Linked DNA regions of Canis lupus familiaris. The protein of the gene in region 3 purifies or fractionates together with the protein of the main gene of each other region. This does not show direct contact. Links are inferred from orthologs where the notes say so. Each region holds a gene or a part of one and is shown on either strand. Other genes may lie near its edges.

What was found.
Region 1: the proteins of DNAJA2 (region 3) and ENDOG purify together in Homo sapiens (affinity purification with mass spectrometry; 3 studies listed by BioGRID and IntAct, with this or other methods). This does not show direct contact. The link is inferred for Canis lupus familiaris from reciprocal best matches to the Homo sapiens genes DNAJA2 and ENDOG.
Region 2: the proteins of DNAJA2 (region 3) and LLGL1 purify together in Homo sapiens (co-immunoprecipitation; 3 studies listed by BioGRID and IntAct, with this or other methods). This does not show direct contact. The link is inferred for Canis lupus familiaris from reciprocal best matches to the Homo sapiens genes DNAJA2 and LLGL1.

The regions. Positions count from the first base shown.
Region 1 is NC_049230.1:54,897,847-54,902,092, forward strand, and holds the start of ENDOG (endonuclease G, mitochondrial), read right to left. Parts: upstream 2,801-4,246; 5' UTR 2,632-2,800; coding exon 2,122-2,631; intron 1,123-2,121; coding exon 1,013-1,122; intron 46-1,012; exon of another isoform or gene 1-45. UniProt on the Homo sapiens protein: Endonuclease that preferentially catalyzes the cleavage of double-stranded 5-hydroxymethylcytosine (5hmC)-modified DNA.
Region 2 is NC_049226.1:41,543,643-41,547,582, forward strand, and holds the start of LLGL1 (lethal(2) giant larvae protein homolog 1), read right to left. Parts: upstream 2,801-3,940; coding exon 2,720-2,800; intron 1-2,719. UniProt on the Homo sapiens protein: Cortical cytoskeleton protein found in a complex involved in maintaining cell polarity and epithelial integrity. Involved in the regulation of mitotic spindle orientation, proliferation, differentiation and tissue organization of neuroepithelial cells.
Region 3 is NC_049223.1:67,287,027-67,290,995, reverse strand, and holds the start of DNAJA2 (dnaJ homolog subfamily A member 2), read right to left. Parts: upstream 2,802-3,969; 5' UTR 2,685-2,801; coding exon 2,607-2,684; intron 1,113-2,606; coding exon 1,053-1,112; intron 727-1,052; coding exon 503-726; intron 1-502. UniProt on the Homo sapiens protein: Co-chaperone of Hsc70. Stimulates ATP hydrolysis and the folding of unfolded proteins mediated by HSPA1A/B (in vitro).

The sequences.
Region 1 (4,246 bases), on a different chromosome or scaffold from region 3:
CCAAGCAAGGGTGGGTGGTGGCAATAAATGCTGCTGAGAGATTCAGGCCTTGTGGGCATTCACCTTCATTCGCACAGACGCATGATCACTGGCCACCTCCCCTGTGGTGAGGGAGCTTCAAGAGGCTAAGGCACATGACCCAGAATTCCCAGTGCCATCACAGGGCCTGGGGTCCAGAACACAGGATGAGGGACTTCCAGTCTTCCCCTCAGCAGGGTCTACTCCATTCCAACAGTCCATAGGAGGCACCTGCTGATTATCAGTGCCTCGGCTGGCCCATCCTAAGCACTCACTACAATGACCTCCAGCACCCCACTTTACCCCTAAGCAACCACGAGGTAGGTAGTAAGTAGCTGTTATCCCCATTTTACAGGAGAGAATATGGAGGTCATTTGCCCATGGCATCCAGAGACCAGGTGGTAGGGCCTAGGTTCTCTCTCAGACCTGTGGACTCCAGAGCCAGCGGCTTCCCCACAACCCTTTGCCTCCCTGATCTCAGTCTTCATTGGGCCAGAAAAATCACTGAGCATGCCCAGGGGAGCTCGGTCCCTTCTACCTGGGAGGCAGGGCTGCCGAGAGACAAGAGTGAAGGCTCAGGGTTGAGGAGGTGGAGGTCACACCGTGGCTCCAGGAGAAGGGTGAGGAGGGTTGCTCCAAGCAGAGCAGACAAGGCAAGAGCCTGGTGCTAGCTAGGCTTTTCTATCTGGACAGAAACAGAGTCAGGTGTATGTGGCAAGAAGTGAGAAAAGAGAGGAGCAGAGACATGTTTGGGGCCTGGTGCTGGGGGCAGGAGAGACGATCCAGGTGGGTACCCCACAGGTCTCGCTACAGTCCTGGAATTAGGGGGCCTGAAGCACAGAACAGACAGACATGCCAAGAAACCAGATGACATGACCTGGCACTGCATGAGGACCCAGAGGTTGAGGCAGGCCTGGATGCTGTGAGTGGCAGGAGGGCCTCTACTGTATGGGAGAGACCCTGGCATCCCGGGGCCCCCCAGTTCGAGCCTTACCTGGGCAGGAAGAGCGGCCCTGTGCATACATAGACATTTTGGTAGGTGCGGGTCAAGCTGCGGCTGTACTTCTCCAGGTTGTTCCAAGCATTCTGGTTGAGGTGGGGCACCTGGTTGGAGAGGTGGGGCTCAGGGAGACTGGCTGGGGCCCTTCCCCTGTTGTCACATGGGCAGGAACTGGCACCAAATGGGGACAGTCCAATGGGGAAAGGGGTGGGCAAGCATGGGGTGGGCAAGTGTGCTGAGGTAACAGGTTCAAGGAGGGAGACGCCTTTAGGCCACCTGGCCATGAGGGTGGAGCCAGAAACCGTTTCTCACCCCCAAAGAGCCACACTGAGGAAAAGGGGCAGTTCTCCTCTTCAGAGAGAGAAACAAGCCTCTCCTCCTGAGCCCCCCTCCCCCCATGCCCAGGAGCTCTTGGGAAGGCCAGCTCTCTAGCCCTACCCTCTCCTTTCCTTTCTAGATCTGAAGCACATGCAGAGCCCAGCTGGGGCTGCTCCTGACTTCCCGCTCTTGAGCATTCATTCCAGTGTCTGGTCAAGTGGGCAGGCAACTGCAGCACTTGGAGAGCAGAAGTCCTAGGAGCCTCGTACCCCATTAGCTTCACCCGGAGCCCAGGGGGCAAGTCTCCAGGCCCTGCTCCGCGGAGGGCACACAGTGATGGCTACCAGCGGACTTTGCAAGTTACTTTCCTTTGGCTCCTGGGAGGCAGGCAGAGTATGGACAATGGCTGAAAGCTCAAGGTCCTCTAGACCGACTGCCTGGGTCTCCTGCTGTGTGACAATGGGCCAGTCACTTGGCCTCCCTGCCTCAGTTCCTTCTTTACAGCTAGCATGCATGCATGCTGAGTGCGTCCGGCCAGGAAGCGAGCTCGGTACTTTATGTGTACATCGTCTTCTTTCTCCGCGCTACTGCGAGGAAACAAGCTCAGGGAGGTGCCCAGAGGCGCACAGTAGAGGTCGGACTGCAGGCGGGTGTTGGGTGCCCCGTGCAGTGTACCTCCCGCCCGGCGCGCGGGGTGAGCAGCCAGGCACCTGACCCGGCGCCCGCACTCGGCAGCTTCGCAGCCGAGGTTCGGAGAGGCTCAGGGGGGCGAGCGCGGGCGCTACCTGCGGCGCGACGTTGCTCAGGTAGAAGGTGTCCTCCATGGCCTTCTGGCTCCAGCGGTGGTTGGCGGCGGCGGCGAGGTGGCCGCGGTCAAAGCCGCTGCCGCGGTAGTCGGCGTTGGTGGCGCGGTGGTACGCGTGCACCGAGTCGTCCTCGCGGAAGTCGCACGAGCGGCGGTCGCCGTCCCCGCGGAGCCGCTCCGGCCGCAGCTGCTCCACCACCCAGAGCGCGCCGCGGGTGCGCGGATCGTAGCACAGCACGTACGACTCGCGGCTCTTGAGCTGCGCCAGCCCCGGCAGCCCGTACTTGGCCAGCTCGCTCGCGCCCGCCGGGGCCCCGGGCTTCGCGGGCACCTCGGGCAGCTCGGCCGCCGCGGCCACGGGCAGCACGGGCAGCCGGCCCAGCAGCCCCGGCGCCGCCCGCGCGTCCGCCCTCCGCCGCCGCCAGCCCTCGGCCGCCGCGCCCAGCCCCGCGCCCAGCGCCAGGGTCAGGGCGGCCCGCAGCGCCCGCATGGCGGGGAGCCTGGCCCGAGCGCCGGTGGAGCGCAGTCGCCGACGCCTGGGGGCCGCCGCGACCTTCGAGGCTCTTAAAGGGGCTGCGCGGGACTGCGGGGCCCACCGCGGGGAGGGGGTCGGGGAGGGGCGTGAGAGCGGGGGATGCCCGCCGCTTCTACTCACAGGCGCTTCGGGGAACTGGGGAGCCCAACGGAGGGTGAGGCCTGGCGCCGAGCTGACGTCCCGGCGCCCTTGCTTTGCCCTTTTAAGACGCGCGGAAGGGGGGGGGGGAGGGCGTGCCACCTCCCCGGCTCGTGATTGGCCGCCGCCGCCCAGCCCCGCCCTCCGCCCAGCCCCCTCGGGCAGCAGGAGGCCCCTCCGCGGGTGGTAGGAGCTCCAGCTTCAGGAGCGCCAAGTGTTAGGTACTGAACTACCATTTCCAGTACTAGACTTAATCTTTAAAAGAGCCTTGAGACGGAGTCTCTAGTTGGCAGAACAAGGAAACAAGGACAAGACCCCAGGTCTGCCTGACACCAAAATCCACCCCCCCTAACATTACAAAGTTAAGTCAAAAGTTCTAGGACACTGGCAAATGTTTTAACAAGCGGCAAGAGGACAGCGTAGGGGCTGATGCTCACTGCTGGTTGGAAGAAAAACTGGCACGATTCTAGAAGGCAGTTTGGCAGTATATATAAAAGTCTTAAAAAGGTTCATACTTCTCAATCCACTTAGAGGACTGAGCTGGGGAAATGAATCTGGAATGCAAGGATCTTGAACAGAAACCCTTCTCCACAGTATTATTACTCATAATGAAGGCTGAAATAACCAAAATAGTCCAAGATAGGGGCTGGACTCAGACGTTTTTAGCATGTGTGAATTCTATATAGCACATAAATATATTTTAAATCATACAGCAACTTGCTTACCACCTAAGGGAGGGAAGAGACAGTACACAAACTGTATCAAGAAAATGACAACGATGTAGCAAAAACTAACGTGTTCTTGGTGATTTTCTTTAGATTGTGGGTAGTATGCATTTTATTTACTTGAATTCTCAGTTTCGTCAATCTCAAAAACAACTTGCTGTGTAATCAAGTGCATAGCACCTCTGTCCCAAGCTCACTGGCCTTTGGCCTCCAGCTGCAAACTGCAGTGGTTGAATGAGAAGACTTGAACAGGCTCTTCCAAAAAGAATTTCCTGACCTTCTTTGCCGAGTCTCAGAGCCTCCTGACTCCATCCCTACTCAAACTTTCCCTCCTCTAAGGTCTCAAAAGGTTTCAGCCCATCACAGCACCAATGCCCATTGCAAAGAACACATGATTTATTAAAGACAACTTGTCATCAACAGCATTGATTCAAGGAATAAAACTAATGAACAATAGCAGACTCACATTCTGACTCGAGAGTGAGACCTGCTGAGTTCGTACAGCCCAACCTATAAGTGTCCAAAGTCCTGGGGGCAGCTTCCCAACTGGGAAGCCTCAGGCCCTCTGGTTCTCAGGGCACTCCCTGGAGAATCTCAGGAGGGGGAATCCCCAAGGGTCCGTCCTTTCCTTAGGCAGTATCCCACTGGGGAGCACAGCCTCATCTGGACAGGGTCCTTTGCTCTTGACCCTCATTCCAAGGTCAAGC
Region 2 (3,940 bases), on a different chromosome or scaffold from region 3:
CCAGCTGTCTCCTGACCAGTGCCTCAGGAAGACATACATTTCAAAAGAAAACTGTGGTCCGCAGGCCTGTTGGCCCAGCCTCCCTCCTGCCTCAACTAATCCAGGAAGGGACTGAGCTCTCTCTGCAGCCTGCTTGGTTGGATTCAGGCTAGTCAAAACATTCTCGACACCTCAGTGTCCCATGTGCTCACTAGGGGCAGTGAGCCCACCTGAGGACAGAGTAGCCCATTTGGCTGGGGGTGCAGGGGGAGAGCTTCCCATGCTCATACCAGAGCTGACCAGGTCTAGCCAGTCCCTTCCTCTGCTCAGGACCCTCTTGGGGCTCCTACCTCACCACCTGGCCCCTGTCTGCCCTCCTCCTCCCTCCCTCCCCTAGCTTGACTGCTGGGCCAATGCCCTTCTGCTCTCCTCCAATTTACTAGGCAGGCTCCTGCCTCAGGACCTTTGCATCTACTGTCCATCTACCTGGACACCCAGCAGTGCCCAAAGAGGGCTCCTCTCCATTACTCAGCTCTCAGCTCAGGAGTCAACTCCTCAAAGCCCTCCCTAAACCACCCTGCTCTAGCAGCCTCCCTGTTCCCATACTCCTTACCCTCACCCCACTTTACTGTAACCACAGCACTGGTCATCATCCAAACTGCTGCACATTTTACTCTTTTGCTGTGGCTTTTTACTATATCCCCCATGAGTATATCAGCACCCCGAAGAGGCATTTGTCTCTCTTGGTCACTGTGGTGTCCCCAATACCTAGAAGGGGGCCCCTCACACAGTAGGAGCTCAAGATTGTTAAACTGACATAGAGTAGACATCCCACAGGCAAGCTATGGGCAGGACAGAGATTCGGATGCAAGACAGTCCAAGGTCCATGCTTGCTTCTGACCCTTCCCACCACTCGGGAATCTGGGATCTATTTGTTCTCTAGTGATCACCTATCTCCTCGTGTGAGCAAGCCCCTACCCCAAGCCTCACCCTTCCCACCAATGCCACCTACTCAGAATAGGGCCTCACTGGCCTTAGCAGGGAACCCTTGGCTTCTGCTGACCCAAGGCCAGTCAGGAGGAGCCCAGCCTCGCCACCATCTATCTCCACTATCTCCACTTCACACCCCGACTCACTGGCTGATGAAGTGACACCTACCCCCAGCATCCTTCTCCTCTCACCTCACAGGGGCTCTTGCTCACAGCCACCCAGCATATGAAAGAGACCAGCGGGGAGACCCCGGGCACCAGCCACCCTTCTGGGCCTCCCAGGCCCCTGCAAGTTCTCAGCCACCATGTCGAAGGCCCCAGCAGCCGCCATCACCAGGAAACCCTGCCTGCCCCAAAGGACATTTCCACCTTGACCACTTCAGATCCAGCCATCCTAGAGCTTTCTCTTAAACAAGAGTCTCCTGGAGTCTGGCTCAGGACTACAGCAGCCCTTCCAAAAACCCCTGCACCTCAAAGCTAAAGTCAAACCTCATCGACAAGGGTCCACGAGGACAGAGTGCCCCGACTCACTCTCTGACTCTGGGCAAGTCGTCATCCCTCTCTGAATCTCCATTTTCTCACCTATATGATGGGGATAGTAACTCTAATCCCCAAGAGCAGTGAGGGGCTGTGCAATCAGAGGTCTGGAGTAAAACTGAGCCCGGAAGCAACACCCCAGAAGTTAGCAAGGGAAAGGCTGGGGCCCGGATCAACCACGCATGGGTGCAAAGGTGGAGGGGAGGAGGGAGTGGAAGGTAGCCTCAGTACTGTGGCCCCTCTTGCCCTACCCAGGAAAAGAAAGGAAGGAGCAACCATCTCTCCACGTTGGCCCAAAGGATAGGTCAGCAGGCCCATGTGATACAGGGAGCCAGAGCAGGGAAAAAGGTGGCCCCGTTTTATAGCAAGGAAAACTGAGGCCCCAGGAGTGTATTCATCTACACAGCCAGGCATCTTCTCTGGAGCCCCCAGCAAAACAGGGCAGGGCAGAGCCCCCAAGGCAGAGCCCCGGGCCTTGGGGGAGGGGACGAAAGAAACAGGGAAAGGATTTCCCAGCCCCACCCCCCAACATCTGCCTCCGTTCCTCACCCCTCCCCACTGGCCTGGGTGCGAAAGCAAAACAAACTGGGGCCCTGGGCTGCCCCAAGGGCTGAGCGGGGGCTCCGAGGGCCCCCAAAGGAAGAGAGATAAAGAGACGGAGACCGAGAGCCAGAGTGAGAGTTCCAGAGACCTTACGGAGACACATGGAGGCGAAGAGACACGCAAAGACTCAGAGATGAAGAGACAGAGAGACGAAGAAAGAGAAGGGATACGCAGAGACACACAGGGACAGAGGCAGACACCCCCTCCCCAGACACAGGCATAGGATAGGCTAGGACAGGAGGTGATCACAGACCGAGGCGGGGCAGAGACCCAGGACATGTAAAGAGTCGCACAGGGACAGAGAGAGACACCGACCCAGGGACACGGAGACCCGCAGAGCCAGGGCCAGCGAGGCCCACAGGGACCCGGGGGAGCGGACTCGGAAAGTCAGCAGGGGACCCAGACCCACCCAGGGTCCGGGAGTGGAGCCGAGGAGGAGGCGAGAAGTGGGGCCCGCCGACGGGCGCGCGACCCGGCCCCCGCGCCGCGCCTCGGCCGGGCGCCCCCTCCCCCCGGGCCCGACGTGGCTCCGGCCCCCGCGCCCCCGGCTCGGGCCCCCGGCTCGGGCCCCCGGCCCGCCCCCTCCCTCTGCCCGAACCGCCGCGCCGCACCTTGTTGAAGGCGAAGAGCTCCTGCTTGAGCTTCTCGCGCTGCGGGTCAGCGCCCTGCCGCCGGAACCGAAACTTCATCATCTTGCGTCCGGCTGCCGGCGCCGCGCCCGCCGCCGCCGCCGCCGCCGCCCGCAGGATGCGCCGCGCGGCCCCGCGGGTCCTGAGGCGCGGGCGGGGCGCCAGGCGGCCCGGACGCGGGCGCGCGGGGCGGGGCCTGCACGGGGGCGGACGCAGAGCGCGACTGACGTACAACCCGACCAATGGGTGTGCCCCGGTGCCGCTCGCCCCGCCCCTGTCGGCCAGACAATGGGGGAAGACTGGGCCCCCGGGCTCGGCCGGGCTCGCGAAGGTGCTCCCGCCGAGCATGCGCCGCGGCGCGGGTCCTGCCGGGATTGTAGTCCGCGAGCCAGGCTTCCTGCGTGGGCGGCTGGGGACAAGCTTTGGAGGGGGCTGACGGGTGTTCCCGAACTTGGAGGAGGCCTTTCCTTCCCCCAGGGAGGAGCGGCGTGCTTATTCAGGTAATGAGGAGGACCTGCCCCGAGAGCCGGGAGAGTTCTGACAGATCCAACTTCTCGGCCCCCCAGCCTCAGTTTCCCCACCTACATTACGGCCCAGTGATTGCCAAGGTATACAGTTCCACGGGGCAGCGCTTTGTTCGCAAGTGTGCCGGAACACCTCCCACCACCGCGCTTTTGCTCCACTGGTGGTCAGTCAGGAATGCCCTCCCCAGTCCCTCGCCCCTGGGAATCTCCTACACATCCTTCAGGGTCCATCGTAAAAGGCTACGCGTAGCAGCGCGGGATTCACGGGCCATCCAGCTAGAGAGGGGCAGGTAAGAGGCCCTGCCTCCGGAGGTGGCGTTTGGGGCGAACCGAGATTGGATCTGGGCTCTTCCAGGGTGGGGGAAGGGCCTCCCCTGCACGCAACACTATATAAACAAAGCTGCACCCCGCCTCCACTCTCCAAGGGACTATCGGCCTGTCCCCACCCACCTCGAAGGCCGCCTTTTCTCTTCTGGACCGTGGCCTCAAGGCCGAACCTTTCCTTCCAAGGCTGAGGATAGGCTGCCCCCGCTCAGGGCTGGGCAGGAGGGAACTCCCAGGAGCTTAGGTGGGGCCTATGGGCCAGCACCAGCCGCCCCCCGCCCCGCCCCCCAGCTGTGTCCAGGGAGGCAGGCCCGACTTCTGATCCTAAGGTAGCTACCAAGCAACGTGGGGCCTG
Region 3 (3,969 bases):
CAGTCTAAGACCAAGGTCAGACACCATTCATATGTTGGCAGGTTAAAGTCAGGCTAGAAGCCAACAAGCTCCATGGAAACCAATTTAGGAGAGTTCACACTGAGGATCAAGTAATGAGTGACTGTAACATGTAAACAAACTAGTCAGTCACTTACTTTGTAAGTTTTTGAATAAAAAGTAACTTGGAAAATTTAAATACTTAAAAGAAAATAATCTTCAAAATTGAAATTTTAAATCATATAGTAACAAGTGGCTTCAGATCAATATTAACAAAACCAGCTGCCTACTCAGTAGAAATATCAACCACCCTTTAAGATCTGTAGCAAAATAACCCAGGTTATCAAATTCAATTTAGTCATCCAATGAGAACAGTAAGGAAATGAAGATTTTTTTTTTCTGACAACGGATGGAACATTTTTGATGCCTTTCTCATTACTAAGCATTACTACTTGAAAAAATTGTACTTAATTAAAAAAAAAGAAAAAGAAAAAAAGATATTCACTTAAGTGGATGCATCATGTCTTCTCCTCTTCTTCTGCCATTTCGACTTCTACTCTGATTGCCCATGAAGCCGAACAATCCTCCACCAAAAATGTGAGAGAAAATATCATCCATGCCACCACCTCCACCGCTACCTTCCCGAAGACCTTGTTCTCCATATCTGTCATATAATTCACGTTTCTCAGGATTTGACAGTACTTCATATGCAAAACTGATTTCTTTGAACTATAAAAAAAAAAAAAAAAAGTAACAAGGAAAACAATTGGGTTTTCAAGTAGAGGAGTGGGGGAAAGGCTACAGGAATCTGGAATTTAGTTATTCTAACAAAAGCTATAAATTACCTTTGGTTTGATTCTGGTCCTACCTCCCACCCACCACTGCCTGGAATGTTAGCATTCCCATTACAAAACCAAAATACTCTTTATGTAAAAATTTGGCTGTATGGGAACAGATGGGACTTTTCTTTACAAACATTCCTCTTTTTTTCAGGGAGGGCAATTTAAAACTGAAACCTCATGGGGGGGGGGAGGGGGAGTCCTCAAATAACTTACTTTGTCACCAGCATTTGGATTCTTATCAGGATGGTATTCCTTGGCTAACTTTCTGTATGCCTTCAATAAAAAATAAAAAACAAACAAAAAAGGTTACATACAAAATCTAATTTAAAGATTTAGGAGTACTAAATATCCCATTTTTCTGAGAGGCAATGTTTTAAAACCATAACTTTCCAAAAACATCTTTTATTCACTGAGATTGACAATCTGAATTCGTAAGCTGAAAAAAATAGCTCGATACTGTTTACTAATTTATCCACCTCAATACTGTTTACTCGCTAACTTGATCCAGAAAAGCAGACAGAAACTATACTAGAACCATGTCAGAGAAAAACAAAATATTGGAAAATTCCCTATTTTCACTATTGTCAAATGCCTTTGAAGGTTAGTAACCAGACGAAAAAGAGGAGTCCAATGTAGGCTAAAGAAATGATCCTTAAGTTTGTTAAAACTCCAAAATCAAGCCAAAGTAAGAACCTCTGGTCAGGATGGCTCCTGCCTTCCCTGTAATTGAAACATTAGGACAAAGTCAAGAGAAGCTCCTTTTATTTTTCCATACGGTGGATTAATTGGAGGGGGCTCGGTCCTCGTGAAGTTGCATACATTGAGGTGGCCAGGACGTGCAGCACTTAACTCTTCATTCACAGACACACCAATTATATAATACAGACTAGCATTTCCGGTAAGGTAACAGGAAGTCCATTTTACTCTCAACTCTACCCCGTCCCAGTGCCTAAGGAGCATTCTCGTTTTCTCAGCGTACGAATCTGTACGCTCTCAGCTCCGTGAAGACGGCGTAGCGCTTAATCAGATGCCGCAGGAGCTTTGAAATCCCGAGATCAAAGATTCGCAGCATTGCAGACAGCAATAATCAGACCTTATGTTTATTTTTAGTCGGTGTACACTCAGGTGTTTGGCTGGGACCCACGGCTTGCTTATTCCTGAAGCGGGTACAGAACAGCTAGGTTACCTGCCCACAGAACAATACACCCAAACAGAGAGCCACGGGTCAGTGGGAGGAGGCGGCGGACAGGGAGCTGCTGCTGCGGCACCCGCGAAACATTCCCCAGCCGCCCGGAGGCCTCGGCGGAGGCGGCCGCGACCCTCCCGCCAGGCCCTAACCCCAGCCCGGGCTCGGCTCCGAAGCCCACGACCGCGGCGTGGGCAACTTGTCTCTCCAGCGGCCGGGGATGCGCTGCGCGCCACTGTCCAACCTGTTTTTCCAGGGTGATGACCTCCGCGCGGGGAGGGCCGCGCAGGCTGCAGCCTCCCGGGAGCGCCCGGCCTCCGGCGCCCGCCGGGGGAGGGAGGAAGGAAGCGTTCCCGTCGTGTTTGCGCAGGGGTGGGTTTTATTTGCTGCATTTGCAGGCGGGCGGGGCCGGCGGCCCAAGGTCAGCCGAGGCCGGTCCCGCTGCCGCCGCCGCCGCCCCCCAGCCTGCGCCCGCCGCGGCCGGCGCCGGCTCGTGGGCAGCCCCGTAGCGCGGCCTGGCCGCCTCCGCCGAGCAGGCCCGTGCCCCTCACACCCTGCCCGGCCGTCCCGCTCCCCACTACCTTCTTCAGCTCGTTCTCGCTGGCGCCGGGAGGGACGCCGAGAATGTCGTACAGCTTGGTGTCGGCCACGTTCGCCATGGCGGCCGGCCGGGCAGCGCTCAGGGAGGAAGGCGACCGAGCGGACGGAGCGCAGCCAGGCCCACGGCGGCGTCGGCGGCAGCGCAGGCCGAGGAAGACAGCGAGGGGGAAGAGGGGCGGGGCTGAACTTTGACCCGACGCACGGCGCGCCGTGACGTCGCTGCGCGGAGCCCGCCCCCGAGCCCTCGGCCGCGGCCGTTGGGGGTCGCGGTGGTGAAGCGACCGGATCTGGGCTCGCTTCTCCTCAGGGTCCTGCGGGTGGGGCGAGGTCCGGCGTAGAAAGCTGAGAGAACTGTGACGCGCGCTTTCCAAGAGTTCGGCTCTCTGCGAAAGGAGTTTCTGGAGGGTGCGGAGGGGATGAGGAGGCCGCCCCCTCGGCCAGCTTCGGCCCGGCGGGCGAGAAAACCGGGCCGGGTCCCCGCCGTGCTCCGAATCCGAGATGCCGCCGGTGGACCCTCTGCGTCTGGTTCCCTCCGGGCCTAAGATGAAAACAGCACCCGGGTGTGTGTCTGTCTGTCGTGTGTGTGTCTTGTAGTAAGGAATTTTTAAACACTCACCGAAAGCAGTGTGTTGCACCGAAGAGGACAGCTAACTGCTGTTGGCTGTGTTTTACCGGTTTTGTCTCATTTATCTCCTCCCGCCCATACCCCCCTAATCTCGGGTGTTTTAAGAGAAACCGTCTTATTCATAAGTATAAGGTATATACCTAACATGACTTTTTAAGGCCAAATCAACATCTAATGAAATTAAATCCGTCATCTAATTCCTAAGGCCATGTTCGGATTCTCACAGTTGCCTTAATGACCTTTCACAGTAGGTTTGTGGCCTCGGAATCCTAATTAAGGCCGACGGGGTTGCGTTTGGATCACGTGTCGATAGCTTTAAAATTAGCCAACACCGGAGCTCTTGAGGGTGTAAGGCAGCCGGGCAGGACACACAGTCACCTGGTGATCGGTCCCCGCTGATTTACGTTCGTTTCAGAAGATGTTTGCAGGGCGCCTACCACGTGCTGTGATGTGCAGACGCTGGGACTGGGGGAGGGGAGTGTTACAAGAGAACAAGCCGGAGGGCCTGCCCTCGACTCCCTGACGGGGCGGGGGGAAATGCGGTGTTCTGACCCTTTGGAACCTGAACTGGTAGTAAAGACTGCAGCATAACCATCTCACTCAGAATAGGTCTTCCTTGGCGGCCCTTCCAGCCTGGTTGTGGAGGGCCTTGAGTACCATGCCAAGATGCGTATCCTGAAACCCTGGGAAGTAATCGATGGGAAGTCCTGGTACTCCCG